Linked DNA regions of Bombyx mori. The main gene of each other region encodes a partner of the protein of the gene in region 2 in a complex. Links are inferred from orthologs where the notes say so. Each region holds a gene or a part of one and is shown on either strand. Other genes may lie near its edges. The genes, in order: Znrd1; DNA-directed RNA polymerases I and III subunit RPAC1; DNA-directed RNA polymerases I, II, and III subunit RPABC4.

Region 1 (9,816 bases), on a different chromosome or scaffold from region 2:
TGAAAAATATTTCAATATAGGTAAATTGACCCTCTAACAATTAAGACAAATTAAAGGACACTTTGTAAGTTGAAATTCATCAAAAAGTTTTAAGATATAATATAACAAATCAATAGACATACATATCATTCTGAAAAAGCATTACTATACTCCTAAATACCCAATCATGTAGACCGAATGGTAAACGTCGCCCTAAACACGTCATTATGGATCCTCCCGATCCACTAACGGTACTTTTAGGTACTACTTAGGTAGGTACACAAGCACTAGTTAATGTCCTCGTCGAACCCATCGCTTGTGACGAAGGGCTCAACGAGTGAATTAACCCATAGACACAGCCCACTGAGTTTCTTACCGGATCTTCTCAGTGGGCCGTATTTCCGGTCCGGTGGTAGATTCTGCGAAACACTGCTCTTGCTAGGGCTAGTGTTAGCAACACTCCTGGTTTAAGCCCAGTAAGCTCACCTACCCGTCAAGAAGCTGAAATAGCCTCTCAAGGCTATTTATTAGCATAGGTACGAGAAAAAAAACTATACTCCTTTGAATGTAAGGTTAAAACAAAAAGAACAGATTGGTTTAATAAACTGAAAATCATGAAGTATTCTTTAAGCATATTAAGAAAGTTATTTTATGAGATAGCGACAAAGTAGAAAAATGCAAAACATTCAATGACATTACATTAAGCTGTTGAATATTTTACAATTTACTTCACCTCAATTTTCTTTTTGGATCCTCTTTTAGATCTTTTCCTGGTTGCTAAGTTTTCTTCTGATATATCAGGTACAACTTGCGCAGCTTCTCTCTCTTTTTTCATTCTTGCTTCTTCATATGCTGATATCAGCTCAGGACAGTCAAGGTTGTCTTCTGGTTCCCAAGTGTTGTCTTCACTGAAATTATTTATGTAAGCATCTTTAAGAATTATTTTAGCTGCAAATTGTTGATTTCTGTAGGTGAAAGAAATAATTAATGTTCAAATGAAAAAAACTTAACACTACCTGAATATTCATGTGAGAAAATGTGGATTTCTTAAAGTTAAGAACAGTGTTTCAGACAGAATTGAAACTATTGCTGAGATATATTGCTATTGATAGAGAAAATTCGAAATGCATTAGAAATCTAATTTCCAGACATGCGTAAAGCTCAAAATAATTGAACAGTATGTGGGTAGCATTCTAGAAAGGTAAAAAATCCGCTAGTACCTATTGTCAAAGCATGTTTACAAACATTGTGTAGGTACCTAACGTAGGAACTTACTTAGAGTACCCTTTCCACTTTAACAGATATTCGACTTTCCCGTTTTTAACCCTTCTGTCAAGTATTTTCTCCACAGAAAATTCTTCTGGTTTCCCGCCGGGAACAACAGTTCCAGGTTGAGCTAAAGTGTTGTCCGTCTGACTAGTCTCCATGGGTTGTGCCGGTTGAGCATTTTCTGCGAACGATAGCTCTGCTTCTAGTGATTCATCCATTAGTTATGAGATAAATGTCTAAATTAATGGTAAAGCGTGTTCCACAATAGAAAAAAAGTAGGTACCAATAAGTTTTCGAAGCCTAGAATTGCACAGCGGACTCAAATTTTCATAATTTGGCATTTGACATTGTTGTTCGAATAATTCGTCCACTAGAAAGGCAATGAGTACTTCGGCTATACAGTCATAATTTTATAAGAAATAACCAAAATCATCCGTATGGAATAAAAAGTAAAATAAAACTAAATTTAGAAATAAATTAATAGGACTGAGTGAGGGACATTAGATAGCACTGCAGGTATTGGGTGAAATGAAATGAAGTAAGCTCTTAGTTTATTAGAGCAATTTTATTGAATTCTATGGAGCTCATGGAAGAACGCAAGTAGACACGTCCAGTGGTTTTGTTTTATTTTTACAAATATTGAACGTTTAATAAGCAACTGTTATAATAAGTTTCAACCTGAGGAAGTACCAAATAAAACAATGCACACAACTTCCGTGCAAAAAGGCTCCTGATCCTTCATCTAGAAACCCCCTTTAATAAAATCCTCTTTTACATAAATGTAGAATTGAAATTATTATCTCAATACAGTTTTATAAAAGTCTTTGACATTTTTATTCTATCTCCCCATCTGTTAGATACTCTCATCTATCGTTCTTCCCTCCTTCGACTTTTTCCAAGTTAAGTTTCCAACATAAGCAGTTTGAAGTCTTTCTACCTAAATGTACTAACGGACAATTTCATTACTATAAGTACTATGACAATGAAATCTCGGATTTTGAAACCCAAACATCAATTAAAAAAATTTAAAATCATTGGGCATTTCGTCTTTTAGGCTGTGTTTATTGTATTTATTTATAGTGAATTTCATAATTTCACATATTTATTTTATAGAATACCTGTGGTGAATGGTTTTTTCACACACAGACTAACAACGGGAGAGATCCCGAAGAAAATAAAAAAAATACATGTGTGCAATTCACACGTGGTAGAAGTGAAACCTTCCAAAATTAAAATACAATTATCCTAAACGTCATAAATACCTAGTCAGGTCATAAATTCTGTCACATGTTTAATGTAAAATAATTGAAACAAGTTTATTCATTATGTAATCATTCATATACCAAAATGAACTTAACAAAACATAGATTCTTATGACACTAAAGTTTATTCAAAATGACCTCCGTGATTTTGAATACAGGCCTTCGATCTGCGCGGCCAGTCGTCTATCGCAGCACGAACGAGGTCCATGTCAATATCGGCGGCTGCATTAATCAAGGATGTCTTGAGTGACTCCAAATTGGGATGAGGCTTTGAGCACACCTTTTCCTCCAAGTGTCGCCATATCTTGTAATCTAACGGATTCAAATCTGGACTGGAGGAGGGCCAGTCTTCGTGCCGGATGAAGTCGATTTCACGCGCCGCCAGCCAGTCTTGTGTGCTCTTTACTCTATGAGCTGGCGCCGAATCTTGTTGGAATACCCAGTGCCTGTTATTGAACATGGTATGAGAAACAGGTTCCACAAGGTTCGTCAGGAATGTATTTTGATACACAACTGCATTGGTTTTTACACCTTTCTCACAAAAATGTATCTCTGTTAAGCCCCAATAAGAAACTCCCAACCATACCATGAGCGAGGATGGAAAATAACCTCGTTGGACACGCGGAATACGGTTGCTCGCTTCTTCACTATGTACGCTGCGTACACCTTATCATTTTGTTTGTTGTAGCTCTTTTCTACGGTAAAAATTTTTTCATCCGAAAAAAGAATTTCCCGATATTTTTTTCCCGCGTACCGCTTCAACAAAGCGCGGCATCTCTTCAGTCTCAGGTCCATTAGACGAGCATTCAAACGATGTCCTGTTTTTCTTCGATATGCCCGAAGCCCTAAATCTTCATTTAACACCCTTTTCACCCTGGTTCTGCTTAACCCCATCTGAAGGGCCAACAGTTTCTGCTTACGTTTGGGATTTCTTTGAATTCGCGCCTTCACAGCTTTTATCACTGCTGGAGTCCTAACAGACCGAGGGCGACCACTTCTTGACCTGTCATCTACACTAGAGTCTTCATTGTATCGTTTGATGGTACGATAAACGAATCTTTTGGTTATATTCAAAATTTTCAGTATGTTAAAAATTTGAATTGGCGCGTAACCGCAACGATGCAACGCAATACCTGCAACATGGTCTTCTTTAAGCGTCCACTCTATATTTAAAAATGAGTAAAATTCTAAAAGTATACATTTTTATTTTCATGAACAATTCGAAATTCGAATTCAATAAACTTTTTTTGTGGCCAGCATTTTAAAAGAAAAGTTTTTACTGTGTGACAATACTTATGACCTGACTAGGTATATGTAAAATTTTGTCATTAGTAAATAATTGTAAGGTAGCGCCCTCTGTGAATTGTTATTTTAATTTCACGTATAATCCTAAATTAAAATTCACTACAAGAACTTTCATACACGCGTTAGTATTAAAAAATCTCACAGATGGCGCTGTATTAAATAGTATGTATATTTCTGTCTCATTCTTTGCTGGCTTCATCCTACACATTTTTGTATTTGTGTCTCTTACCTGTCGTTTTATCCGTTGCATCCGGTTTGAAATCACAACGATTCTAAAGAAGTTTTCACTTCAAAAGACAGGCTGTCAGTTTGAGGGAAAAATGTCATGATATAAAAAAATGTGTTTTACGTTTTTAAAAGGTTCAAAGATAAAAATCAATTGATTGTTAATGTATACGATTTTAAGGTGCGTGTGGAATAAATAAATGCTTCCTATACTGCAGTTTGAGTTTAATCCGCAACGACGACAGTTGTCAACATATTTCCTAAATACCTACTAATCTATATATGAGAAACAATGAAGATGACTGATTTTAGAGATCCACTATTGAAGAATTGCGTTTATAATTTCGTTTATAGAGTGGAGTTAGTAATAGTGTAAAGAGCAAGAGCTAAAAATGAGCTGTAGTAGACTGTAGTGGTTATATCTACAGCTACTGGGAGCGTTCTGTAGTTCTGTAGGCATTGTCACAGACTGTGGTAGAGAGACAAAAAGTCCACCAAAACTAAAACGTAGAAGTGCAATCTTCATTATTTTAATTACAGCACGTCATTTCGTATCCTCCCGATCCACTAACGGTGCTTTTAAGCACTTCAAATCACCAGTCATCGTTCTCGTCGAAACCGTCGCTTGCGACAAAGGGCTCGGCGAGTAAATTAACCCACAGACACAACCCACTGAGTTTCTGGCCGGATCTTCTCAGTAGGTCGCGATTCCGATCCGCTGGTAGATTCAGAGAAGCACTGCTCTTGCTAGGGTTAGCGTTAGCAACGTCATCAGGTTTGAGTCCCGTGAGCTCACCTACTTGTTAGGTGACGCTAACATAGCCTCTCAAGGCTATGAGCTTAGGTAAGAAAAAGAAACAGTTACTGAACTTCATCTTTTCAAATTTTAGTTACAAGTGATCTAATACTATCAGTATGGGCTATGTTTCCTTTGTCAATTGTCAAACAGTTAAAAAAAATTGTACGTAAGTAATGAATTTATCATTATAGTAAAAAAAAAATAGGTTTTTGTATAGCAAATACTTAGGGTATGTATACACTAAAACTGTCTAAAACCCTTCACAAAAATATATAGTATGCTTCATATTGGTTTAAAAATATATTTTGGTTATGTTTAGTACTAATAGATAAAGATTTAAAATAACCTAATATTCTAAACAAAAATACACAACCCTTTTAGTGATAATTGTGTTTACTTTTAGAAATAATGTCCACTGAAAGCCCGTTATCAACTAGTACAGCGTTTTGTGCTCGCTGTGGGTCCATATTACCCTTGCTACAAGAGTTTGGCTCCGTGAAATGCTACACTTGTAAAGCACATTATGAGGCTGATAGTAAGTATATAGTTGCCAATGAAAAAATTACTTTCATATAAACGGGATACGATTTTTCAGCGTTATGCTTTTGTATAATTTTCGAATATTCACTATTAAATTTATAATAAATAAAAAAACTTTAGTGATACTTATGAAATCCAGAAAGAACCTGTTGTATTTGTTTTCGAAATATAAAATAAAAACTTAAAAAAATGTTTTATTCAGAAATTCTTTTTTTACAGATTATAGTAAAATGAAATTTCAATACACAATACATTTCAATACTATATCTGTGATCACAAATGAGAATATACTACATACTGATGGTCCTGAGGGTCCAGTTGTGGAGAGAAAATGCGCTAAATGCGGTTACGACAGAATGTCATATGCAACTCTACAGTTACGATCGGCCGATGAAGGACAAACAGTTTTCTACACATGTATAAAGTGCAAGTATGTAAATTACAATATTTATTTGTATTTCGATGAGCAAGTCATCAATATCTGTACTTGTATTAAATAAAATTGGACCCTACCACTAGCCTAAGACAGGAAAATAATTGCAACTTGTGGCCAAATTTCCTTGGTAATATAAAACTGGACATAATAATGATCTTGTAAGCAACTACTATCTCAAAAATAAAATTATTTCCTAATTTAAAAAAGAACACATCGTACAAGATAATATCGTAAAGTATTATTTATTTTCAGATACAAGGAAACTGAAAACTCCTAAAGGCTGCTTTATACTAGTTTTAAGGTTGTCAAAGGAAAACTCGGCAATAGAATCATTGTATCAGAATCACTTTATGCAAAAATCAGTTTTACTGATTGTTTTAAATTAGGTAAATTTAATAAGGATTAAAATTAATCACCATGTAACTGGTGCGTAATTTTAATTCCATTTCTTGGAATGATAACTTTTAAACTGTAAATTCTATACTGATTAATCTTAAAAACCATGTTTTAAAAATTACATGTAATAGAATCAAATCTGAATAATTGAAATTATAAACATTTGTCCAAATGTTTTTTTTATGCTGAGAAATACATTTCTATTTTTAAATAATAAGTTCAATGAAAGTTTCTTTTTCAAAAGGTTTTATTTCCATGTTTCTAAAACCATAGCAATATTGAAGAGTTTTATGCAACAAGTTTATTTGGATCTTAGTGTAGAAGATTTACATTTGACAATTTTTGATAAACTTATAATACACTACTCAGAAATAATTCTATGTAGAACAAGCTCGGCCATATTAGTTTCCTACAGTAAGCATAATATGCCTGTATAACAAAAGTACACACTGCTAATCTTCCATAGTAGAAGTCACTGGATTCTGTAATACATACATATTTATTAAGGAAAATTTTTACCTGCCTCCTAAGGCCTTATCCCTTGATACTAACACCAGCACAATCGCTTGATACTTGTAAACCGGCATCGTATCCTATAGACCACAACAACATCAAGTGGGCTGTGAGCTAGCGTAACCATACAATGAAGAAAAATAATCGTAGTATTGGCAACAGTGTCCGTTGTGAATGATGTTTTAAAATGAGATTTTGCTCTAGAAATGTGGGCAGAAGCTATGATGTGGTTGTTTTAGATCACTTACACATTCTCAAGTAATAACAGTGCCGTGTCAATTGCTGAGCACCTGAGGTTTACTCAAGGCAAAACAATATTCATATAATATGTCATTACATAGAAATTCCAACTTTGAGTGAGAAACTTATCATTATTACATTTTCCTTTAGCACATTGGTTCTCAAATTTTATGCTCGTCAAATCTAGATTTTGGTAGTGATTTGAACAATTTTCCAAGTGGTCTTAAAGCACAGTCATAATAATCTGCTAGTAATCTAAGACTATTAATAGTAACGAATCGACACTTCCAAAGGCATACAATTCATACGGCGGTAGTAATATCTTGCATGTGTTTGTTTTGCCTTACAATATTATTCTCACGTCCAACTAAGAACAACTTATATTAAAAAAAAACAATTTAGCCAGTAATGGTTTTGAACAGCAAAAACTTAAAATATTGTTTCCTTAAATTGTGAGACTTTTCATAAACAAATTACAATGTTTTGTCACAAGAGAAAATAATGCTATGTGATTTTGAACGCGCTACAAATAAAATGTAGTTAATTATTAAATAGACCAAAATACCATTCGAGATAATAAACTTTTAAAATAGACATTTTAATGGTAGGCAGCGGCTTGGCTCTGCCCCTGGCATTGCTGACGTCCATGAGCGACGGTGACCACTTACCATCAGGTGGGCCGTATGCTCGTCTGCCTACAAAGGCAATAAAAAAAAAAAAAAAAGACAAAGCTAACAAAAAAATGCCTAACAAAATATATATCTCATTAATAAATTATGCCAATAAATTATGCCTAAACTACAATATTTAACAAATAAATTAAAATGAGGTTTGCGTGATCAAACCGGCAGCTATCTACGAAATACAATTTTTATTATAAACAATCTAGGCTGTCGTGACGGTTGAGAGCCGCTGTCTTAGCCTATTTCTAGAGTACTTACTGTCAATTGTCAAACGTTTGTTTCACACATCAAACGATGCCGCGCAACAACAGTTCATTCACAAGCCGCAGGTGAAACCTACTTTTCACATTCAATACACGCTACCTTCCGACGAACGAAGTCTTTTTTAACGTGCCAGAAAAGGATAGGTATATGTTTCAACTGTTTTTTTTTAATACTGACGGAAGGGTCAGCTTGGTTTTTCGGCTGAGAGCTGGTCCGAGCCGAGATGAGGCGGTAATTAATTTGATCATTCGATGTACGTTGCGTACGAACGGATTAGTGATGGACACAGTCGATGAACTTATATTATCGAAATTAATATGAAAGTATGTTCATGGTAGACACAATTAAAAATACTTCTACAGTTTAGCATCGCGTTCTTTTTTTTCTCATAAAATTATTTTCGACGTTTATAATACTTTAAATATTTCATGGTCACGGACGACTAAGAGTTGCCGCGGAGATTAAAGTAATTTTAACTATTATAAAAAAAGCAATTGATTTTATAAAACACAGTTCGATATAATCGTTAACAGACCTTTATGCGGTCTTCCAGCGACAACAAACTGGCTTTACCGGCCGGTATCGAACATGAATCTCGCCAATCACTGCGGGCTCGGATCGTGTTTCAGCTGTCAAGATCAAACCTACACGCGGCAGATAAATGAGTTTGCTTTCCCCTGTCATTCAGAGCTTGCCGCGTCCTGCCGCCCGTGGCGACTCCTGCAGCGCGAACAAAGCCTCGCCAGACTAAGAGCAACTATAAAATTAAAATACAAAACCTAAATAAGATTTTTAGGTTTACCAATTAATCAAATAAGTTTACCAATTTATCAATAATCGTTGCGTTATTTTCGTCAAATGTTCGGGATTAAAAAAACCTGCATGATATATAGAGAATGATCTTATGCATAATAATAGGTAAAACGTCGTAAATAATCTCTGTTACATTAAAATTGTTTCATAATTAAAATCTGTGTGACTAAAATCGTGTAGTAATAATGAAATCTGATGAAAATTTATAGTTTACGTAATTAATACACGATTTTGATGTCGACCATAAGACTTAGGATGAGGTATTAACATTTGTGATATCTGTTAGCTACGGTAAACATTTAACACAAACGGTAGTTAGCTCGTTTGCCCATAAAATACCTCAGCGTTTGATACCAAAAACAGTAGGGAAACCGCTTAAAGAGGCGACTCGATTCCTCGAATTAAAAATATGGCTTCGTGACGTAAAACCTTAAGTAGGTACCTCTTTATGCATTTATTGATCGTTGAGTCCATAGGGTGTACTATTAGTTTAAACATGAAATAGTACAGCCCTTAGCCCTCAGACACAGCCCACTGAGTTTCTCGTCGGATCTTCTCAGTGGGTCGCGTTTCCGATCCGGTGGTAGATTCTGCGAAGCCTCTCAAGGCTATCAGATTCGGTAGGAAAAAAAAGTACAGCCATATTTTTTGCTTGATTTTTGAATCTGAATGAAACCCAATTGAATGGTAGAACAAATTTCCAAAATCCATGTTTGCTTATTTATTGCTTAGATGGGTAGACGAGCTCATGGCTCACCTGGTGTAAAGTGATTGCCCGAGTTCATAGATAACAACAACGTAAATGCCACCTAGTCTAGAGTTCTAAGTCTATGTTTTATACATAGTACATACAACGGCTGCCCCGCCCTTCAGACCGAAACGCATTACTACTCCAGAGCAGAAATAGGAGGTGGTACCCATACGGTCTCACAACACACGTAACTACTTGTAAGGATATTTATTTATCTATCTAGGCCTGATATGAATCTAAAATGAAGTAATATAGGTAATTTATTTATCGATAACATCGACAAGTGACCGTCACTAGCTACGGTAGTGCAGGTGCCAACCAGACGCGACGGCGCGCCAGTC
Region 2 (10,719 bases):
CCCTCCCCCTCGGGAAGCCGGACTGGCGGTCGTCGGCGCCACGACCACCAGCCCTTTCGGTCGGCGAGTGGTTACCTATTCACAATGTAAATGCTACCACCCATCGTGAGAAATAGGGCCGTAGCTTGCATTGACAACGGCGGTGCCACCCTTCGAATTGGAGCTCATGATTGTTTCACGACAAGTGTAATATGTATATCAGGATCATGGCATCCAGGTTTGCGAGCATACGTACATACTCTTGCTAGTATCAGTAAATCGGTGCTGGTTAGCGATCGCACATTTCTGACATAATCACAGAATGTCGCTGCCTTTAGCAATTCGCTCAGGTGAAGCCCGTGAATTCACTTGGCGCGAAATTGGAATAGCCCCTGACGCTACCAACGATTAGGTAAGGAAAAATTAAGTTGCAGACGTTCCCTGATTTATGTAATTTCATACATATGATTATATGTATATTATAATATATTCACCAGGGAGATATATATTTAATACCTTGCAGCGTTTTACGGTGAGATAGGCAATGGCGTGAGGATGTCTACCTCGTGTGCCTATATTCCACGTTTCAGCAACACATTTATGTATATTTTATCGTAATTACATTACGTAATTAATGTAAGATTATTTACGGTTGATTTGATTCACATAATGGAATTAGTAAAGTCAACAGATGGCATTAGGCATAATTAAAACTACTTTTACTTAAATAGTAAAAGTATCGTGCGGTTTTTTTTCTGAAACGAAAACAACCCGAAAATCCCCGATCGTCATCATCTCAAAATATAACTAGTTACAGTGGAACCGGCTCAACTGTTCTTGTCATTACATCAAAGAAATTACAGATAAATTTGGCAACATACCGTTCATTCATACTACCTGAAGCCATTGCGTTCATCCACAGTGCGTTTCCAGATAGGTATCTTTTTGGCCACGTATCATCCGGCTTTGGAATGAGCTCCCCTCCACGGTATTTCCCAAGCACTATGACATATCTTTCTTCAAACGAGGCTTGTGGAGAGTAGATGCTTAACGGTAGACAACGTTTTGGCTTTGTCCCTGGCATTGCTGAAGTTCATGGGCGACGGTAACCACTCACCATCTGGTGTGCCGTACGCTCGTCTGCCTGCTAGGGCAATAAATAAAAATAAAGCATATTTAGACATGCGGCCATTTAAATCATTTTAAGGATCACATCAGAAATTAAGCCAGTCGGTATAGTTAAGTGTAGCATGTCTTTACAGGATCCTACGTCTGTAAACAGGACGGTGACGTGACAAACATATTGCTCAAGTTTTTAAGCATAGAACCTATACGTAAGTGTCTAAACCAGAGTTCCCCAAACTTTTTTGTGTCGTAAACCCCTTGCCATGTTTTTCCGTGTTGGGTAGACCCCCTACTTACCTGATATTGATTTCCTGTAAATTTCTAACTGTATTAAAGTTTAGTGTTAAAAACTTAAAGTAAAATCACATGTTAATTTATACATTTATTAATTGAATTTAAATTAAAACTACTCAAAATAAAATTTTGTATCTGTTATATAAAATATACGTAACATAAAATAAACTATAAATAAAATAACATAAGCAATAAATCAATATTTTTAGTGAGAAGGATGAACGTGATGCTTTAATAATAAATTATCAACATTTGGCGTCAATTTTAAAAGGGTTAATCTTAAATCTCGTCGGCTAATGATGTCTTGATAGTAGTCTAAGATAGTATGATGTAAGTAAATAGGTACTAGCAGTGTATGTGTTGAGATCCACTATCGTGGACCCCCAAATTTTTTTTCGCTGACGTAGACTCCTTGCAGGTTGTCATAGACCCCTAGGGGTCGATATAGACCTAAAGGAATCATCAGAAGGCTACTTTGAAAAAGCGGCGTGACACGATAACCGTCTTATCTTGGCCGCCGCTAATTACATATCCGATCCAAGCGACGGAGAAACACAAAGCCGCTGTCACCCGAAACATGTCTAGTCGGATCCCCCGGATTCACCATTGAGTTTCTCGCCGGATCTTCTCAGTGGGTCGCAATTCCGATCCGGCGGTAGATTCTGCGAAGCACTGCTCTTGCTAGTAGCCCTAGCAAGAGAGTGATAACAAGTTCTCTCAGGATGAGCCCGTGAGCTCACCTACCCTTCCGGGAGGAACTGGAATAGCCCCTTAGACTACCAGTGAATACGTTGGCGGGGAAAAATCACAGGCAAGAAGCAAATTAAGCAAGCAAGTTAAGACTCGCTAAAGAAAACACGTCTATTTTTTTAAGCAATGCAATTAACTTATTGCCGCCATTGTAGCTGTTTTCAACTCTATAAAAATATTAAATAATTTTTATATTTTTAATTCTTTAATACTTAGGTACACATTCAGGCATTCACACACGTGCTTTATGAAAAAATATATGGATCGGAATGAAGTAAATTGGATTTATTTGAGATTGTAATCAATTGGGATAAAAATAAATGAAACAAGATGGAATGGAATGAAAAAAGTGTCTGTAAAATGGGGATTACTTACTAAGAATTCGGTGGACTTTTTGGAAGAGCCCGAGAAGCCACGTCCAGCGAATTAGTCTCATCTTTGCAGATGCTAAACATTAAGAATACTAACTACTCTTATTATACGCTTAAACTTGAAGAAACACCAATATAAAAAATTCAAACTATTCACACAACTTCGCTCTTTGCATTCCCACCAAAAAGTCTCTATTAAATTAAGCCATGTCCCATACCATATTTTCTTGTTAATAAGTCACCGTTAATAGTTGTTAAAGCCTAAGAAAACACTAAATTAACAAAACAAATAATTCACACTTCCCTCCTCGTTCCTCACATTCTTGTCAACAAGTCGTCTTAAAGTTAATAATGTTAGCGTTTCTTAAGTAAATAAAAAAATAATAATAATAATGATTTCTTTTTGTTTCCTTTTGTTGGAGTTTACTCCTTTAGAATCGATTTACATATATAGGCCCGGGGTATGAAAATTATGGGGACCAAAATCGTACTAGCATGTCACACGAAATGCGTTATGCGCCTGATTGGCTCCTGATTGCGTGATGCGTGCGCGCGCCAATCAGGAGCCAACGCGCGGCCGCGTTATCGCAGGTGACGCCGGGCTGCTGCGCCGGCAGTCCGCCACAAAGCCTCGTACTGATCGCGCGTTTCTCTCATTATTGTATTTTCATATATTTGTTAGTCGTTTGTTTTGTGTCTCGTTAATTTGTTAATAATCTGTAGTGTATCGTGTTGTCGTAATATAGAACTATTTCTCGTATTGTTTCGTTTAATTTTTTATATCCAGTAAACTCCAGTCGTGCGTCGGAGCGGACACACACACTTTTTTCATTTCTTTCTGTTTCGATTTACATAAAACAGACACGACTTCACTTACTGTAACAAAAATTAGGATTGTATGGTCTTTGATCCTTTTGCCCAGCGAGTTGTCAATTCAAACAAGTAAAAACCTCTATTTATTTTCCAATACGGTACGGTACCGTACCGTAAAATGGGGCGATTAGGGACAAATTCCAACTTTATGAGCAATTTTAAGGTAGTTGTTGATGTATATAATGCTATATCAGGATCAAAATGATTGAGTCTTGGGGGCATCTTTGTTGTCTAATTTAAAATTATGCAACTAGCATTCCAGTTTAAGCAAAAAATGCAAAAATAGGTGTAATCTCTATTTACCCGAAAATTGCGGTTAATTGGGATGTAATGAGAAATTTGCTAGGGTTGGCACTATTTTTATTTTTATATATAGTTTTAATTTATTTATTTATTTAGTTGCACCAACAAAGTGATCATCAATAAAAAAAAATGAAAAACTGACAAAAGTACATGGCAGACATCACCTCAATTATAGGTGCAATCGACAGTGCTGATATTTCTATCTGGGTTAAGAGATTAGGTGTGTCGGTTATTCCATGGATTAATCAGATGAATACCCCCACTCTGAACAAATATTAAATATTTTATTATGTATTACTTAGACATTTTTGTCCACCTTGAGATTTCATTGATCTTGTTACATGTCTCTGCAAAATCGACTTACTTATATTAAATTGCTTATCTATTTCAAATAAAGACTTATTCCCAATTTCGCTTCGAATAAACCAGATATTTACCAACAAATTCAAAAAATATTGTTATAACTACATAGACAACCCTACAAACCTGTACCTATTTATACTTAGGTCGTTTCCATTTCACGTATTCTCATCCCAATTGACCCCTTTTTCGTTGTTATTTGTACCTAAGACGTCCCCAATAACCCCAAAAACAACAGATTTTTACATGTATTTTTATTTAATCAAATACATTAAAAGCAATAACAACTGAGACTTACCTTTAATATATATGCTGGTTCAAACACTAAATAACGTTTATAAATCATAGTCGTCTTCTATTATTATCAAATAAATAAAAGAGAGCAAAGTTTCTAGCACTAAAATAATGACCACCACAGGAAGTTAATTTGAAACGCGATTTTTTATAAGTTAGCAGCTATTATCATGCATATTCAGAGTTGTTTTGTGAACTTTCAACATTCTACTATTAAACTACAAAAAATGGAAGATTTTGCAACGAATATAAAACTTATATTGAGCGTCGAAAGATTTTCCCGGTTTTTTCCCGATTCGCCTGTCAATCCCTAATCGCCCCATTTTACCGGTACCGTACCTATGTACCTACATAAGTACAAACTTACATTACTTACTACATAGTCAAAGTTTAAATTACCTACTAAAAATTACTTAAAATCACTACTTAAGTGTATAATCTATGATCACTACCTTACGTAAAATCATCGAAATATTTAATTTTGTCAATTATATCTGTATAAAAATATGCGACAAACTTTATATACAGTAAACGTTACTGTATACCTGTGAAATAAGATAAAACCTTATTTACATTAATTAGTAAAATATTGCAAAAATGCCTAAATTCGATGAAAAACCCCGAGTTTTTCTTGAAGAATTCCGTGTTAAGGTTCTCCTTTAAATTGCAAGACTTATTTACAACGATAAAAATGCACATGATCATAACCTAATAATTTTTGCCCGTACAGAATGCACCCGAAGATTACGGATTAGACGATGAAACATGGGACTTCAAAAAGTTTGTGAAGAAGTTTAAGATAGTTGTAGTACGAATGGACAATTTCGAAATGGAATTTGACTTGATTGGGATCCAGCCAGCATTTGCGAACGCATTCCGGAGACTCATGTTAAGTGAAGTTCCTAGTATGGCTATTGAAAAAGTAATGATCAAGAACAACACTTCTATAATACAGGATGAAGTTTTAGCACACAGATTAGGATTGATTCCTCTCAAAGCTGATCCAAGATTGTTTGAATATAAATCTGAAGGTTTGTGTACAAATTATTACAAAGCCGAGACCATATGTGGGCATTCGTTTTGGAAGATGATTGTTTTCTGTGAAATTGGTTGTCTAATTATTTTTTATTTATCAATTACGTAAACTAGTACACTAATAAAACCACAAATATTCATTTTTCTAGTATCCTAAAATTGACAATTTAGAGCTGGAATGCAAGATGTTATTAAATACTCACTTTTATACCTCAATAAACATTTATATCTCATAATCAGTAAAGTTTTCACAGCCTAAAGGATAAGATGCCTGGTCCATTTTTATTATTGTAACTATGATGAAATAAAAAAAGTTAACAGAAAATAAAAGAATTGTTTGAGCAGCTCTTGTAAATAATTTGAAATTTTATTTTCAGAAGACACGGAAGGAACAGAATTCAACACTTTAGAATTTTCACTAAAAGTAAAATGTACCAATAGCAAGTCACAACCAAAAGATTCATATAGAGCTGAAGATTTGTATGAAAATCATAGTAGTGAGTTTTCTGTATATCAATATAATAATGTGTAACAAACAGCCTATTAATGTTTTTAATATAACAGTAGATCGCAGATCAGCATATGGCCCTGGTATTAAGCTTGCTGCAGTGCATAGATATAGGTGATTCACTCACATTAAGATATGGGATTGAAGTTTCCATTCCATAGCAAAACAGCTATCCTTACAAACTGGATTCCTTTGCAGTAGAAATGGACAAGATAAATTATGACTACCAATACCAAACTTATAGAATGTTACTGCCATTTTCTGGTAAATTTTTTAGCCACCTGTAACAACACCATGGTAAGATATAGAGTGGTATTGTTGTATGCTGATAGGACAGAACACAGAGCTGATTTTTTGAACTATGGACTAATCTATGAAATTTATATTTATAGTTTTTTTATATAATGCTAGATGATTTTGTTATTCTTAATACTTAGTTAATTACAAATATGTTTATACAGTTTATTCATCCCATATGAAGTGGCATCCAATTGGCAACCAAGCTACAGTTTATAAAGAAGCTGATGTGGGTCCTGTACATAAGGATATTCTTATATCAAAAATGAGACCTGGCCATGAAATAGACCTTCAAATGATTGCCGTGAAGGGCATAGGAAAGGATCATGCAAAATTTTCACCTGTTGGTTAGTCCCTTCTTATGAATATTTTATAAAATGAGATAAGCTTATTTTAATTATTAAAAAAAATGGTTTAACTAACATATCCATTTTATTCTACAGCAACAGCTACATACAGATTGCTGCCAGAGGTAACACTGACTCGTGAAGTTTGTGACAGTGAAGCCACACTGTTGCAGAGTTGTTTCTCACCAGGTGTTATTGGTATTGACTCTAAAAACCGAGCATATGTGAAAGATGCAAGATATGATGCATGTAGTCGTAATGTTTATAGATATGACACAATCAAAGATTCAGCAATCCTAAGTAGAGTTCGGGATCATTTCATATGTAAGTAGCCATATGTAAATTAATGAAATCATAAAAATGCCACAAATAATTACATGTGCAACAGTTTTTTTGCTATCAATGCTGGTTACCTCAAGGGGGTCTAGCTTCACCTAACGTGTAGGTAAGCTTACAGGCTCAGTCTGGCGAATTTGCTAACACTAGCCCTAGCAAGGGCAGTGCTTCTCAGAATCTACCACTGGATCGGAATCGCGACCCAGTGAGATGATCTGGTGAGAAACTAAGTGGGCTGTGTCTAAGGTTTAATTTACAAACCCAAAAATCTAAAAAAGTAAAAAAAGCAAAGGCTTATGTTTTCAGAAGTGTTTATATTTGTATCTATGTTGTACATAGGTGTTCCTACACTACTCATCTGATTTCAATGAATTTGACAAGTGACAAATCAATTCCTTATTATGATACAGATAACATAGGCCACATTGGAAATTATTGAAATTAATATGTTACATCCAAAAAACGATATTTGCCTCCAAGACAGATAGATAGACATTCAATATATATATTATATGAATGTTTTTTATTTAACAAAGATTAACATGTATCTAGGTATATAGGCTATTTTATATATTGCACATTGGTGTGTTATAATTTAATGAAGCTGACTAATGATTTTGTTTTATCTTTCAGTTAATGTGGAATCAGTTGGAGCAATTCCACCTCAGATAATTTTTGTAGAGGCAGTAAAAATTTTAAGAGATAAATGTAGATCTTTTTTGGATGAATTAAATAAATTTAGTTAAACTGGTCTTAAATAATGTTTTTGTTGCCCTTTTAAATATTTTCTAGTTAATCTTGCCAAAGAAAGTATGCATTTATAGTCATGATCGAACGTACAATGTAACTTTGAATTTCATTGCATTTACAATTTAAAGAAATTCGTTCATTTGTTTTGCTAAAAAATAATGGCTATCATACAGTAAATAATCAACTTAAAATAAATTTTATATTTGCATTAAATTCGGTTTTGGTTTTTGATTTTTTTAATCACATTAGGAATTGTAGTTTTGTAAAGAAGCTATTTTAATATTTCACTTTGTAGTAGTAGTAGCAGCAAGTTATTGTACTTTCATTAAAGTATCATAACTGCATTTTTTTTTATTATTTGTCTAATCGGATTTACTAAAATTCGTAAATAGTGTATTATAAATCTGCGGCCAAACCATACGTACGAAGGCAAGTAGTGTTATATGAATAGCAATTTTTATATTTATGGTAAAACAGCATGGATGAAAATATACTGGTGGTGAAATTTACTGGTTTACTGGCAGGACCTCTTATGAGTCCGCACGGGTAGGTACCACCACTCTGCCTATTTCTACCGTGAAGCAGTAATGCGTTTCGGTTTGAAGGGTGGGTCAGCCGTTGTAACTATACTGAGACCTTAGAACTTATATCTCAAGGTGGGTGGCGCATTTTCCCTATAGATGACTATGGGCTCCAATAATCACTTAACAACCAGGTGGGCGTCGAAAGAACTAATAAGTAAAAAGGCTCTGCTTAAAAACCACCTGTCTATCGCGAAAAAAATAATGCTGTTGTTCCATTATAACTTTTTTTGAAGACTATGTTCAGGACTGCTGTTTAAAAAGTTGTTCCAGAATGAACTACAGTGAAGTGCACAGTTGAGGGAAAATTAAAAGAAATAGCAGGCCGTGACATCTCGGGTTCTCCCAAAAAGTCTATAGAACTCTCAATAAATTTTGAATCATTTTAATGAGAGGTTATTGCACTTTACCTCGTCCAACACACGGTGCTATCTCACGTTATTTAATTCCATTTCATTTTTTAAAATAGACATGACTTCAATAATTGTTGCAAAAGACTTAATTGTATGAGCTATGTTCCCTTTGCTTGTTCAATGGACGAATAATACAAAAAAAAATGCTATGAAAATATTTACCTACATTTTGGGAAATGTACTCAAAAAAATTGTTGTTTTATTGAATTTTAACTGATTTCTTACGATAATGGGTAGCCTTGACAGAGCAATCCTAACTGGGTTCATATGTCGACTATGTTCTGAAATGCACCGCATTGTGATACATATATATGGTGAAGAAGGCATACGACTATGTATTTCAGAAAAAATCAGTCGATATCTCACCATAAACGTAAGTACTGTATTTTTTTCTCACAAGGGTGAAATAATAAAAACTAATTACGGTAACTGCACAATAAAAATCAAAATTACAGATTTCTCGAGCCGACCCACTCCCAAAAACCATTTGCAAAAATTGTTTGGAAAGACTTGAAAAACAACACAAACTGGTAATGGTGATGGAAAACGCAGCCAACATGTTAAAAGGGCGTAAAACAAGGGCTGCCAAAAGTGAAACAAAGCAGTAATTTATTGATAATTGAAATTGTAACTTAATACATGCAGTATCTAACAATTCATAAGGATTGTCATTAGGTATATGTTTCAAGGACTACGAAATTACTAATGTACTCGTAAATATGTTTACATCGTAGGTAACTTCTGTGCTGATGTAGCTAAAGTAAATTATAAGAAGGTTCATATTCTGTTTTGTTATTATCTAACATTTAAAGAAATTTGGAGTATGTTTGAGAAAACAAATGGTTTCATTTATACATGAAAAGTGATAATATTCATAAGAATATTATTAAACTTCTTTGTTACACATACATAAGTATGCTGTGTTTTAAAATAATTTATTTTAAGTATTAGTATTAGCTATATAAATTAATTTGTAATTATCACAAATTGGTGTGTTTGTTTTTGGGAACGATTTCTCATTAATTTAAGGATGATGTTGCTCCCCCAGCTGAAATGTTAAGAATAAAGTATCTCAATATGAACTCAATATCTCTCACCCTTTTTTTATCACTACATAGATAAGTGAACAAGCTTAAAGCTCATCTGGTATTATTAAGTGGTTACTGGAGATACATTGAGGTTGACAATCGTTGTGGAATAATGGTTATCCTACTCTTGAAACTACAAACCATATAGGCCTTGTAGCAGAAGTATCTGACTGATGGACTATTTATGTTCTTTTACTTATTTTGTTATTTCCCTATGTAGGCAGATCATGGCCCACCTGGTGGGTAGTGACTACCTGACCCCATAGACAACACAGCACGAATGCTGCCATTCCCAACGTGGTTGTGAATGATAGTTGATCACAGGCTGGATCTATTCTGTTTCATTTTAAACTTTTTATTACTGTTGAAGGCAATCTACCGAAGTTATAAGTAGGATGGATTTGACGGTTGTTTATAGATAATAGGGGTTAAAGTATGAAATTGCCGTTTTATTGTAATAGGCACTTGAGATTTTTGATTGAAACTTTTATCAAATGGTACCTATGAGGTTCGTCTTTTAAAAAATGCGCAACATTCTATTATCGGCTTTCAGCTGTTTTTTTTATTCAGCTTAGACAAGAAAAATGGATACTTCGAAAATTCGAGTGATTTTTGAATACGAATTCTGACGCAGAACTAACGCTGCAGAAACAGCTCGCAATGTCAATGTTGCGTTTGGAGAGGGGACTGCTAATTAACGCACCTTGCGATTTTAGTTTAAACGCTTTCGTGATGGAAATTTTGGAATCAGGTGGAAGACCACCCATGTGAATAACAATGAATTCAAAGAGATGGTGGAAGCCGATCCGAGCCATTTACCCAGGAATTAGTGGCATTGTTTAACGTTACCTTCCAACAATATTGACCCATTTGCGTCAAATCAATAAAATAAAAATATATGAAGATGGTGCCTCATGCTTTCACTAATCTGCAGAAAGGACCGCGTGTTGAAACTTGTGTTACCTTGTTGAATCGATACAGAAATGAAGGAATATTTGATCGAATTGTGATGTGT
Region 3 (10,606 bases), on a different chromosome or scaffold from region 2:
CCAAAACTTTTAGCACTATTTAAATTCATGAAAATTTTATTTTTTAAAAACTAGGATTTGTGTCGTCAACTATACCCAGAATCCATCAGAGCTCTCTATGGAAAATCTATAGTACATAATGCTGTTCATTGTACTGATCTTCCTGAAGATGGTGAACTAGAAGTTGAATATTTCTTTAAACTTGTAGCTAATGATTAAATATGTTTTATTATAATATTATATTTCCAGTTACTTGTTTTTGTAATCATTTTTTACAACAAAATCATTTCCTTCTATTTCAATTTTGTCATACATCCATTTTCTGTTAATTCTGAAAAAGAATTTAATCTTAGAATTATGTGTATAATTATGAATTACTATTTTAAATAAAGATAAATGTTCAGTGAAATACACCTTTGATTTATTAAAAGATAAGTAAGTTAATTTTTTTAATTGCTAAAGGAGTAACTGAGATGAGATCACGAAATTTGTGCATTTGCCGTCATTAAAAACTTGGGCTATCTACATACCACCTTAACTCATAAGATCAAAGTGTTGTAATAGCAGTTGTCTTATACTTCAAAGGGATACTCATAATTGTTTCATGACAAATTGCTAAAATGGTAACAATCTTACCTAACAAGTCCACTGTATGTGTCACTGCTCATAATTATGCAATTTAATAAATTTTACAGGAGAATAAGGGCTTTAAAAAAAAAAGTTTTGATTGCTTAGATAGGTGGTCGAGCTCACAGCCCATCTGATGCATCTATAATGTAAATGCCGTCACCCACCTTGAGACATGAGTTCTAAGGTCTCACTTTTAACAGTACAAAAGCTGTCATACCCTTCAAACCAAAACGCATTACCTACTGCTTCACAGCAGAAATAGGCAGGGTGGTGGTACCTTCCCGTGTGGACTTCTAAGACGTCCTACAACCAGTAATAAGTGTTGTACCACAGCATTTATCTCTATCTGATATCCATGATTATTTTGAAAGATTAATTATTGTTTAAAATTAATATATTGTTTATACCTGCACTCATGGCCACATTTATTGGAATTGCAGTTTGCACATGGAAAATGGCATCCGGGACACTTCTCATCGAGGCAATCACACAAGTCTTTGCCAGTTTCAGCAATATGACCGTGGTCATCATAAATTCTCTTCACTTTTCGACTGCAACATTAGAAATATTGACTATTAAATTGATGAAAATATATTTATATATATTACAAATTCAGACTTGAACGGATTCAATAGAATAGAAATTGTTTCAACTTACGAAGTGAAATATTTTTTCCTGTTTGCTTTTCTACGTTCACGAGCTGAATTTTTAGGATCAAAATTATCTAAGAAACGCATCTTTTAAAAAGTACATGCTACAAACACAAAATAATATTAAAAAAATATTCTCTTCCGCGCGTTATTACCCGAATACAAACGATATTTAATTTATTATTATTATTATTTATTATTATATATTTATCCGGTGGAAGATTCTGCGAATTCTGCGACTATTTTTGTTAGGCCTAGTGTTAGCAAATTCTCTCAGGTTTAGCTAGTGAGGTGAGCTCACCTACCCGTCGGTGAGAAGTACTGAGAAGCTGAAATAGCCAGCTGTAACCGGTAAACAATATATAATCTTACTCTATGCGGTAAACTTTGTGAGCAAATGACCTTGACTGCGCAGAACCGAATTTTAGATCACTTTGGTGGTGAGGGTGAGGCGCGACGGCAGGGGAAATCGTATCGAGCGCGTTGTTGGTAGATCAGTCGAACCTTGCGTCCCGCACCGCGCCCTCGTTCCCATAGATTATACACTTAATATATTTGAGACTCGTTCCGCTTGCTCCCAAAAGTACGCTTGCGTACAGTGAAAAGTCTATTAATATTAATCGTTGAAGTTATTTGTTATAATTATTATTGTTTGTTGATTTTGTTGTTATTGCTATTTGTTGAGTGTTTCTTGATTTTTTATAAAAAATATACTATGCCACGTCAAACTGGTGTAGTATTAAAAAGACAAGCTAGAAAAATGGTGTACGACGTATATTGCTTTCTTAAAAAGCAGGGAAATAATGATATGGAAACGGTAAAAGAGACTTCAGAGGCAACAAAAACATCAGTCAGTACTGTTAGGCGTATTATTAATGAAGCGAAGGGCTCTAACTTGCTCGCCGTGTTTCGTACTCCAGGTAAAAAAAGATCAGGGAAGAAGAAAGTTACCGGAATTGATAGTTTCGACCAATCTGCAATAAAAAGATGTATTCATAATTATCACATAACAAACAGCGAACTTCCTACCGTCGAAAGACTTCGTAAAAAATTGAAAGAAGATATAAATTTTAATGGCTCGGAACGAAGTTTACGACGAATTATGAAAGAGCTAGGCTTCAGATGGAAAAGAACAGAAAATAATCGGAAGCTATTAATTGAAAAAAGTAATATTCGACTACTAAGGATCGAATATCTCCAAAAAATAATTAAATATAGGCAAGAAGGAAGACCGATAGTGTACACCGATGAGTCCTATGTCGACTCATCACATGCAAGTGGTATGTCGTGGTCAGATGGATCAACTGGGGGTTTAAAAAAACCAATTTCGAAAGGACAGCGTGTAGTAATAGTGCATGCTGGCTCCGAAGATGGATTTGTTCCCAATGCCCTTCTTTTGTTTAAAGCTGGCACAAAATCTGGTGACTACCACGATAACATGAACTATTTGAACTACGAAAAATGGCTGCGTTGTCAATTGCTACCAAATCTGCCACCAAATTCCGTTGTAGTAGTCAACAATGCGTCATATCACTATAAACAGTCTGACCCCGCTCCAACTGCCAATGCCAAAAAAGTCTATATGAAGAAATGGTTACAAGAAAAAGAAATTCCATACGATGAAAACATGTTGAAACCCCAGCTTTTTAGCTTGATTAAAGCACATAAGGAACAACACAAAACATACAGCATTGATAAAATTTTATCAAACCACAACCATTCAGTGCTTCGCTTACCTCCATACCATCCAGACCTCAACCCAATTGAAATGGCTTGGGCAGCTATTAAAGGGTATGTCAGTAGCAAAAATGTCGACTGGAGCACTGGCAAAGTAATAGAGCTAGTGAAGGAAAAGGTCGCGGTGATGGGTGCTCCGGAATGGGGTAGAATATGTCAAAAGATAAAAGATATTGAGGCGGAGTATGTAAAAAGTGATCATGTGGTAGATTTAGTCACTGATGAGTTTGTAATTTTTGCTGACGATGATTGCGACACGGATGAAGAAAGTAGTGATGATGATGATGATGGTCATGATTATGATAGCGAAAAAACAATTAAAAATACCAGCTCAGCTTCAGCTGATCCAAGACCTGGCACCAGCTCCTAGTTTTGACCTAATGGAAGGAATATCTATTTTACCCCTAGATTAAATTACTACAATTATTAACCTGTATTTTTTGTTCATGTACTAATAAATATATAAATAAATACATATTATGTTGTTTTTAATAACTTAACATTTTTGTACGTAATTGTACGATGCGCGAACTTACCCCCACTACGTCAACTAATGCTCAAGAAGTTTGCCGAGTATTAAGCGAATAGGCAGGTGCAGGTAGGGAAAAAAATGAAAAAATATTTATTTCTTTGTTTACTATGTTTGTTTTTTTAAGGGATTTTATGACCTGGTAACTAAGACCTTTAGGTCAAGTCTTATTTTAATTTTAATGATAACTTTTTTATATGAAAAATGATATTATTAAATGAAATGAAGTTGATTATTGTGAAACATGGCATGAAATGAAATGAAAACGAAATGAAATGAGAAAATATGGGATGAAATATAATCTCAGTAAAATGGTGGTCATTTACTAAGATTTTTCAGTGGACTTTTTGGAGGATCCCGAGAAGTTACGTCCAGCGGCTTTGTTCCATTTTCCCACATTTGTGCACTTTCACAGATATTAAACTGCTAATAAACCACCATTATTACACATTTAAACCCGAAGAAACACTAAATAGACAAAATATAACAAATCACACAATATCACTCCTCGCGTTCCCGCCAAAAAGTCTGTTTTTCTATGTTTGGGAGCTTAATGCACAGATTAGCTAACTCAATCCATAAATAAAATGTAAAAAAATATGCCATTTATTTGCTTTACGGCTCACTGAATTTGGTCCCCTTTTTTAATTTTCGATTTTTTTAATTTTTAATTATTTGTTCGTCGTTTGTTCGTTAATGTTCGCGCGTAACAAAAAGGTAGTAAATACGGCCGTCGGCCATTGCCATCTGACTGACAAAACCGGCGCATGCGCAATGTAGGCGTGAGGTGATAATTTGCTTATTAGATATAAAATAATTAATAATTTCGAATTTACTTGTTTTTATGATCGAACAATCACCAATAGTCGTCGAACAAACAATAATTGATCAAAATTAATTAATCTGAGCAATAAAAACAAAGATATCTAGTAAGAGGGGCCAACTGAAGGGTGATCATTTGTTTAATTAATTATAAATAAATAAAAGACGAACAGATAATTTTACATTCAAACATTGACGATCAAACGACGAACAAATAATTAAAAATAATCCTCGGTTCCCCTCCAATGTCCCGATGATTTTTTCTTTTAAATTTCCACTCCTTTTTTTACGTATTTTTTTCTTCAACAAGACAAGCCCTCTTTTGAACAAAACGTTTTATGGTTTAAGTTCCCTTTGCGGCTTAATTAAACAAATCCAAAAACCATAGATTCTACACACAAAATAACAATCCAAAGCATAGATTATACACTTAATATAAAGCTTAAATCAAATTGGTGATTTAAAATAAAACACATTTTTTATTATTATTTAATTTTTCTCTATTTTAGCACATAATGGCTGACACAACTGGGAAAGAGCAATCAGTTACTAAAGTGCCAATGATATATGTTTGTGGAGGTACAGTGTAACCAAATAATAACAAAACTTCTATCACTTTGTAAAACACTAACACAAAATAACCTAATAATTGTTAGGTATCAGCATACCCCAATAATTGAATATTTTTTTTGTATTTCTTTTTCTCTTGATTTATGAACATTTTTTATAGAAAAAAGAAAGAAACTACTTTTAAAATGTTCTTACCGATAACACTAAGCTTGTCAATGTCTACTAAACAAAGAATTAATAAATCAGTTAATTTGTCTTTTGTGTATAGTAGATTATAAAATTATTCACACTGTCTTATAACATTGTATAAATTAAGGCGTTTTGTTTAATGTGTTATTGTTTTACTATATTTCAAATGGGGAATGCATCTGTATAAATATAAATGTTCTTTAGTAAAGCTAAAAGCCGTAAAAGCTTAAGTGCTTTTAATAAAACTTGTTAATATTAATATTAAAATTTAAAAAACCTAAACTTAAAAGTATTAGAAAAATGAAATTGATTCAATTGAGAGTAAATTATATTGTTTGCCCTTTTCTACATTATTGTTTTTGCCGATCATCTACTTCAACTGTTTAAATGTTGGTTTCTTTAATAAATGCAATCCTGAAACTATAATATGGGTCTGCAAAACAAATGATGCTTTCATTATCATTTTCAGAATGTCACAAAGAGAATGAAATCAAACCAAGAGATCCTATTAGGTGCAGAGAATGTGGTTACAGAATAATGTACAAGAAAAGAACAAAAAGACGTATCCTTTTGATTCTATAAATATATTCTTAAAGTAAAGATTATAGGACTAGGATACAGCCTAGTGATTTTAATCAGTAGAAAGGTATTGACAGGTATCACCCATATTTAATTCCTTCATTGTGGAAGTGATTCGTGATCACATTTCGAGAGTATATTTCTTTGGATATTGGTATATGCAATTTGCACATTTGCATGGTTGCACAGCTTGACACAACTACACCATCTGTTTTATCCTTTAGATCACATTGAGCTTGCAAGAAAATAAATGTAATAAATGAGTCGACTATTATCAAAGGCGGCAATCTGACTTTTGGACAATGATTGGTAAATCAGAAAAACGAATTATTGACTTTGTATTCCATTGGCAGTCACAAAACTCTTCGGAACGACATCTTAGATAAATAACAGGTTAACTATTAACCTTTATTTAATGCAGGTTTTGAACCGTATTCTTTGAAGGAGACGATTATATTCAAATAAATCTGTATTGACATATCAATAAAAAAAAATTGTCCAAATGTACAGATTGCCACCTTTGATAATAGACGACTCATATCTGTTAAAATCTTCAGAAAATTACCCTTTTTGTAGTTTGTGTTGATTTTAAATTCATCATATTTTTGTTCGTAATATTCTGAAAAATTTTCCTTAAGTAAGAATTCAGTGGTTGTGTTTGACGCTCGGTAAACGAATTCTGGAAACAAAACCCTAGAAGATAAGTTCGGTGGATACATCATGCACAGAAGAGTGAAATAAATTTATAATAAGGTTAATGTGTATTTTTGTTACTTTGTCTATGCTCTAATAATACTGACCAATGAAAAAAAATATATACAAGGTAGTTTTTTTATAGTAGATTTATAGATCTACATCATCACTTTACATTATATACTGGTGGTAGCCCATAGACATTAAAACATGAATGCCACCTACCGCCATGATATATGTGTTCTAAATTGTACCCAATAGATATAAGTAATCTGAATGATTTGAAGTATCAATCAACTTATTTGATGTTTCTAAATGAACTACTGCCTTAAAAAAAAAAGACTTAAGTGCAAGAAAAATATGTAACTTTATAGATAGATATCAAATGAGTTCATTATCTTTTTTTTTTATTGCTTCGATGGGTGAATGAGCTCACAGCCCACCAGGTGTTAAGTGGTTACTGGAGCCCATAGACATCTACAACGTAAATGCGCCACCCACCTTGAGATAAAGTTCTAAGGTCTCAAGTATAATTACAACGGCTGCTTCACCCTTCAAACCGAAACGCATTACTGCTTCACGGCAGAAATAAGCAGGGCGGTGGTACCTACCCGCGCGGTCTCACAAGAGGTCCTACCACCAGTAATTACGCAAATTATAATTTTGCGGGTTTGATTTTCATTACACGATGTTATTCCTTTAATCGTAAACATGGGTGGCGGCATTTACGTGTGACCGTTGGCCAGTTTTGCACACGACACCGCTAGTGGCGCCAGACGCAAAGTGTCAATATGGAGTACTTTCGTAAAACTTCCGTTAAATAATAACAACTAATAAAAAAAACAAAAGGGAAATATCTCAGTGTATTTTAATTATGTAACTTCATCATTATAAAGTTTTAACAATTTATTAAAATTATTACCTCTCATAATAAAACACCAGAAAATGTATGTCTAAAATTTTACAATAGCCACAAATATACATTTTTTTTCGATCCATAAAAACTATCAATAAATAATTGTTAGGACTCACGACATTAATATCAAATTTAATTTTTCACACATTCCTCTAAGTCAACTTTTTGCTTACGTTATATAATAGTGAATATAAACATGCTATGGGTATACACATGCATAAAGAAAATTTGAATAAAGAGATTTAATTCCATTCTATAGTTACCAACTCACTAATCATAATCAAAAAGTTTATAGCACATACAAATAACATTCTTGGAAACAAAATACAAAATCATGACAGTTTATGATCAAGTAACTTTACATGTTCTGTCTCGAATTTATATTATGTCCCAATTAGAGAACTATACAGATGACGTAATAAATTTCAATTTATCGGTAGTTGAAATATAAAAATTACATAGAAAAATATCAATTAAAAATCATTTTAAACTTGAAATAACTAAATGATTATCTTTAAAAAGCTTATATTTCTATTCGCAAGTGTTTTGAAAATAATAATTATGTATTTATTTAAAATCATACTAGTGGCTAACAGAGGAGATAATTTCATTGAAAAACTAATATGGAAATGAGCTATTTGTATTCTGTAAAATACGCATTTAAATATGTATTTATGGCTTTGCTGAATTAGTAGAGTTGACTTTAGCTACCTATTGTATCACAGAGTCCTCTTTAAATTCGAAGTCAGCTTCTTCATTAAAAACATTTGGCATTCGAGGACTAAATGTACATACATTTGTCATGTTTAACTTTCAAGCACCCATTATAACAAAGGGGAAAACCCTAGCTTGGGGACGTTTAATATGAAACGTTTAGTACCGAACCATTGAAATTTTATTAGATGGATTTAATCAGTTAGAACAACTTATTATTGTAGATAAGACCGCTTACAGGCCACCTGTGTGCTTAGTGCGAGCTTCTGAACGTTCTCGATAACGTAAAAGTTAAGCCAATTTTGTATGCAATTGGAACCGCCCCTAGCGGCAAACGTACGCAAGCGATCCCATTCCATACAAATATGACCTAACTTTTACGCTATCGAGAACGTTAAAAAAACTCGCACTAAGCACACTGGCTTAAATGGAAAAAGAGCCGCTCGCACAACAATGGAATAGCAAAGAATTGGAAACAATTTTATTGGATAGTGCGAGAATTATAACGTCGGATCACATTTTTGAGTAACATATCGAATTTTGATTTTGTTATTTAAATTGTAAACGGTTTGATCTTATAAGTAATGGTAAACAAGGGCAAGTAAAATTGATAGAGTCCCGTCTGTAATGAGAGATGAAAGGATGGATCATGTATGATTTAAAATAATGTGAATAATGACAATACCAGTAAATAGGCATTCAATTGAAATTATATTGAATATTATCATTTTTCTTTCATGCCAATCCGGAATTGGATTAATATTAGAAACATTATTTGTAGATGTGAATTATTTAAGTATGCATGTTATTTTGTTTAAAATATTTATTTTTTTATTTACCGCACTTTATGTCGCCTCTCGAGACTGATACGATTTATCGTTTCCGCTTGAATGTCTATTTCAACAGTTTTTTCAATTAAAACGTATAGCAGATTTTTTGTATAAGTTTTAGAATTAGGAGCCTATAATTATAAATCATTGATTAGCGTCGATGCCTTTCTGTTGCTATAAGCTTCTTGATCATAATGGTAGATTTAGGTTTTTATCGATTATGTACATATATATTTTAATAGATAGTTATTTATTATGGTGGTACTTAAATACATTTTGTACCTTAATAATTATGACAGTCCCGTGATATGATCAGACACAAGATATTTACAAAAATAACTAAGTAGTTTGTTTTTGAAAATTGATATTCCAATATGGTATAGTACAATAGTAGTATAAGGCGCAGTGCAGCAACCCAGTTCGAAAATATTGTAAAAATGTTATTGTAAATCTACATCGTTATTAAAATAGTTTATACAATATATTATATAACAATATAAGACATATATATACTACAATAAAGAAACATAATGATGATATCATATATTTTAAAAATTTGAATTTGATTTGATTGGTATTATTAATAGTGATATTTTCGAACAGCTTGTGGTCTGCAGCTTCAATGAAGCTTAATTTCATATTAGCGCCATAAAGCTTAATTTCTAGAAAAATAGTTTAACAATGAATATATATATACTTTTCAAATAACAGTACATTATATATAAAAAACTAGGCTCTGTAACCTATCCCTTACAAAAAAGACAAAACATGCAGATCATTGATCATTCACACTAATAATTATTTTTACATTGGACTATAAAAATTAAATGAATAATAGTAATGCATAATAGTAGGAATCAAAACTATACTACTATTAATATAATTTTTTTAAATCGGAGAGCCCAGCTTAAACATGTATACAAATTGATTATAACTTTAAAGAAACTAAATTCAATTTATTTCCGTACATTTTTATGGAAGACATTTTTGTTTTTTATTCATATCTACGTTTAGTGTATGGAAGTTGATATGCCAATTGTTTTAAATTTATGGAAGTAGTAGTTACATAGTATAAATATGAAGTGGTAAATATGTCATACAAAAATTCATACAAAAGTGCTGTTCTATTCTATATATCATCCGACTACTCCTATGACAATGTAATATGTTTGACTGATATTTAAGCGTAGTTTAAAAAATGTGGACCTCTTTTTTTTCTGTCGCAATAATATATCCCATCTAGGTCTTCGTTTTCAAATACAATTCAACAAATATTATCTCTGTAGAAATTACAAATAACAGTATTAATACATAATAAGACTTACATTAAAAGCAAATTTAACAAATTTAATATTACGTGGAGATATTTACAAGATACATATTAATATTTTTCGAATTTTTAATGTTAGAGTATGTTACAATCTTAAAGCGTACAATTGTTTTCACACGAATCTGAGTAACCCCAGCTTTAATAATTACACTTAAATTAAAAACAAAATAAAACTGCACATTAAAATACACTATGTACGTAATATAATTTTGGCACTAAATATCTGTGGCACTACAGTTAACACGTGTTTCCATTTCTTGATCTTCATTACCTTCACTTGTTTTTCCATTACTGTTTTTTTCACTAACACATGCGTTATCGGCGGGTGTGTTATCTTCGTCTTCCGACAGTTCCCTGCCTGCAGGTAGTTCTACTATTGTTAGACCGTTAGGATCTCGATATTCCAATTTTGTTGGATCTTTTTCGTGAAGCTTCCTT

The links.
Region 1: DNA-directed RNA polymerases I and III subunit RPAC1 (region 2) and Znrd1 share a complex: the UniProt entries of both Homo sapiens proteins name them as parts of the pol I pre-initiation complex. The link is inferred for Bombyx mori from reciprocal best matches to the Homo sapiens genes POLR1C and POLR1H.
Region 3: DNA-directed RNA polymerases I and III subunit RPAC1 (region 2) and DNA-directed RNA polymerases I, II, and III subunit RPABC4 share a complex: the UniProt entries of both Homo sapiens proteins name them as parts of the pol I pre-initiation complex. The link is inferred for Bombyx mori from reciprocal best matches to the Homo sapiens genes POLR1C and POLR2K.

What each region holds. Positions count from the first base shown.
Region 1 is NC_085112.1:11,748,559-11,758,374, forward strand, and holds Znrd1 (transcription-associated zinc ribbon protein), read left to right. Parts: upstream 1-5,241; 5' UTR 5,242-5,242; coding exon of another isoform or gene 5,243-5,247; coding exon 5,248-5,374; intron 5,375-5,598; coding exon 5,599-5,809; intron 5,810-6,067; coding exon 6,068-6,092; 3' UTR 6,093-6,383; downstream 6,384-9,816. Other genes in the region: chromobox protein homolog 1, read right to left, coding at 713-887, 1,255-1,429, 1,532-1,589. UniProt on the Homo sapiens protein: Core component of RNA polymerase I (Pol I), a DNA-dependent RNA polymerase which synthesizes ribosomal RNA precursors using the four ribonucleoside triphosphates as substrates. Can mediate Pol I proofreading of the nascent RNA transcript.
Region 2 is NC_085131.1:5,575,935-5,586,653, forward strand, and holds DNA-directed RNA polymerases I and III subunit RPAC1, read left to right. Parts: upstream 1-4,348; 5' UTR 4,349-4,946; coding exon 4,947-5,000; intron 5,001-5,079; coding exon 5,080-5,380; intron 5,381-5,761; coding exon 5,762-5,881; intron 5,882-6,353; coding exon 6,354-6,536; intron 6,537-6,632; coding exon 6,633-6,860; intron 6,861-7,505; coding exon 7,506-7,618; 3' UTR 7,619-7,633; downstream 7,634-10,719. UniProt on the Homo sapiens protein: DNA-dependent RNA polymerase catalyzes the transcription of DNA into RNA using the four ribonucleoside triphosphates as substrates.
Region 3 is NC_085111.1:12,245,964-12,256,569, forward strand, and holds DNA-directed RNA polymerases I, II, and III subunit RPABC4, read left to right. Parts: upstream 1-4,669; 5' UTR 4,670-4,862; coding exon 4,863-4,926; intron 4,927-5,575; coding exon 5,576-5,668; intron 5,669-6,334; coding exon 6,335-6,357; 3' UTR 6,358-6,507; downstream 6,508-10,606. Other genes in the region: nucleoside diphosphate kinase 7, read left to right, coding at 55-198; ARL14 effector protein-like, read right to left, coding at 229-310, 1,017-1,160, 1,267-1,346; uncharacterized protein LOC119628526, read left to right, coding at 2,698-3,366; uncharacterized protein LOC101737452, read right to left, coding at 10,384-10,606. UniProt on the Homo sapiens protein: DNA-dependent RNA polymerase catalyzes the transcription of DNA into RNA using the four ribonucleoside triphosphates as substrates.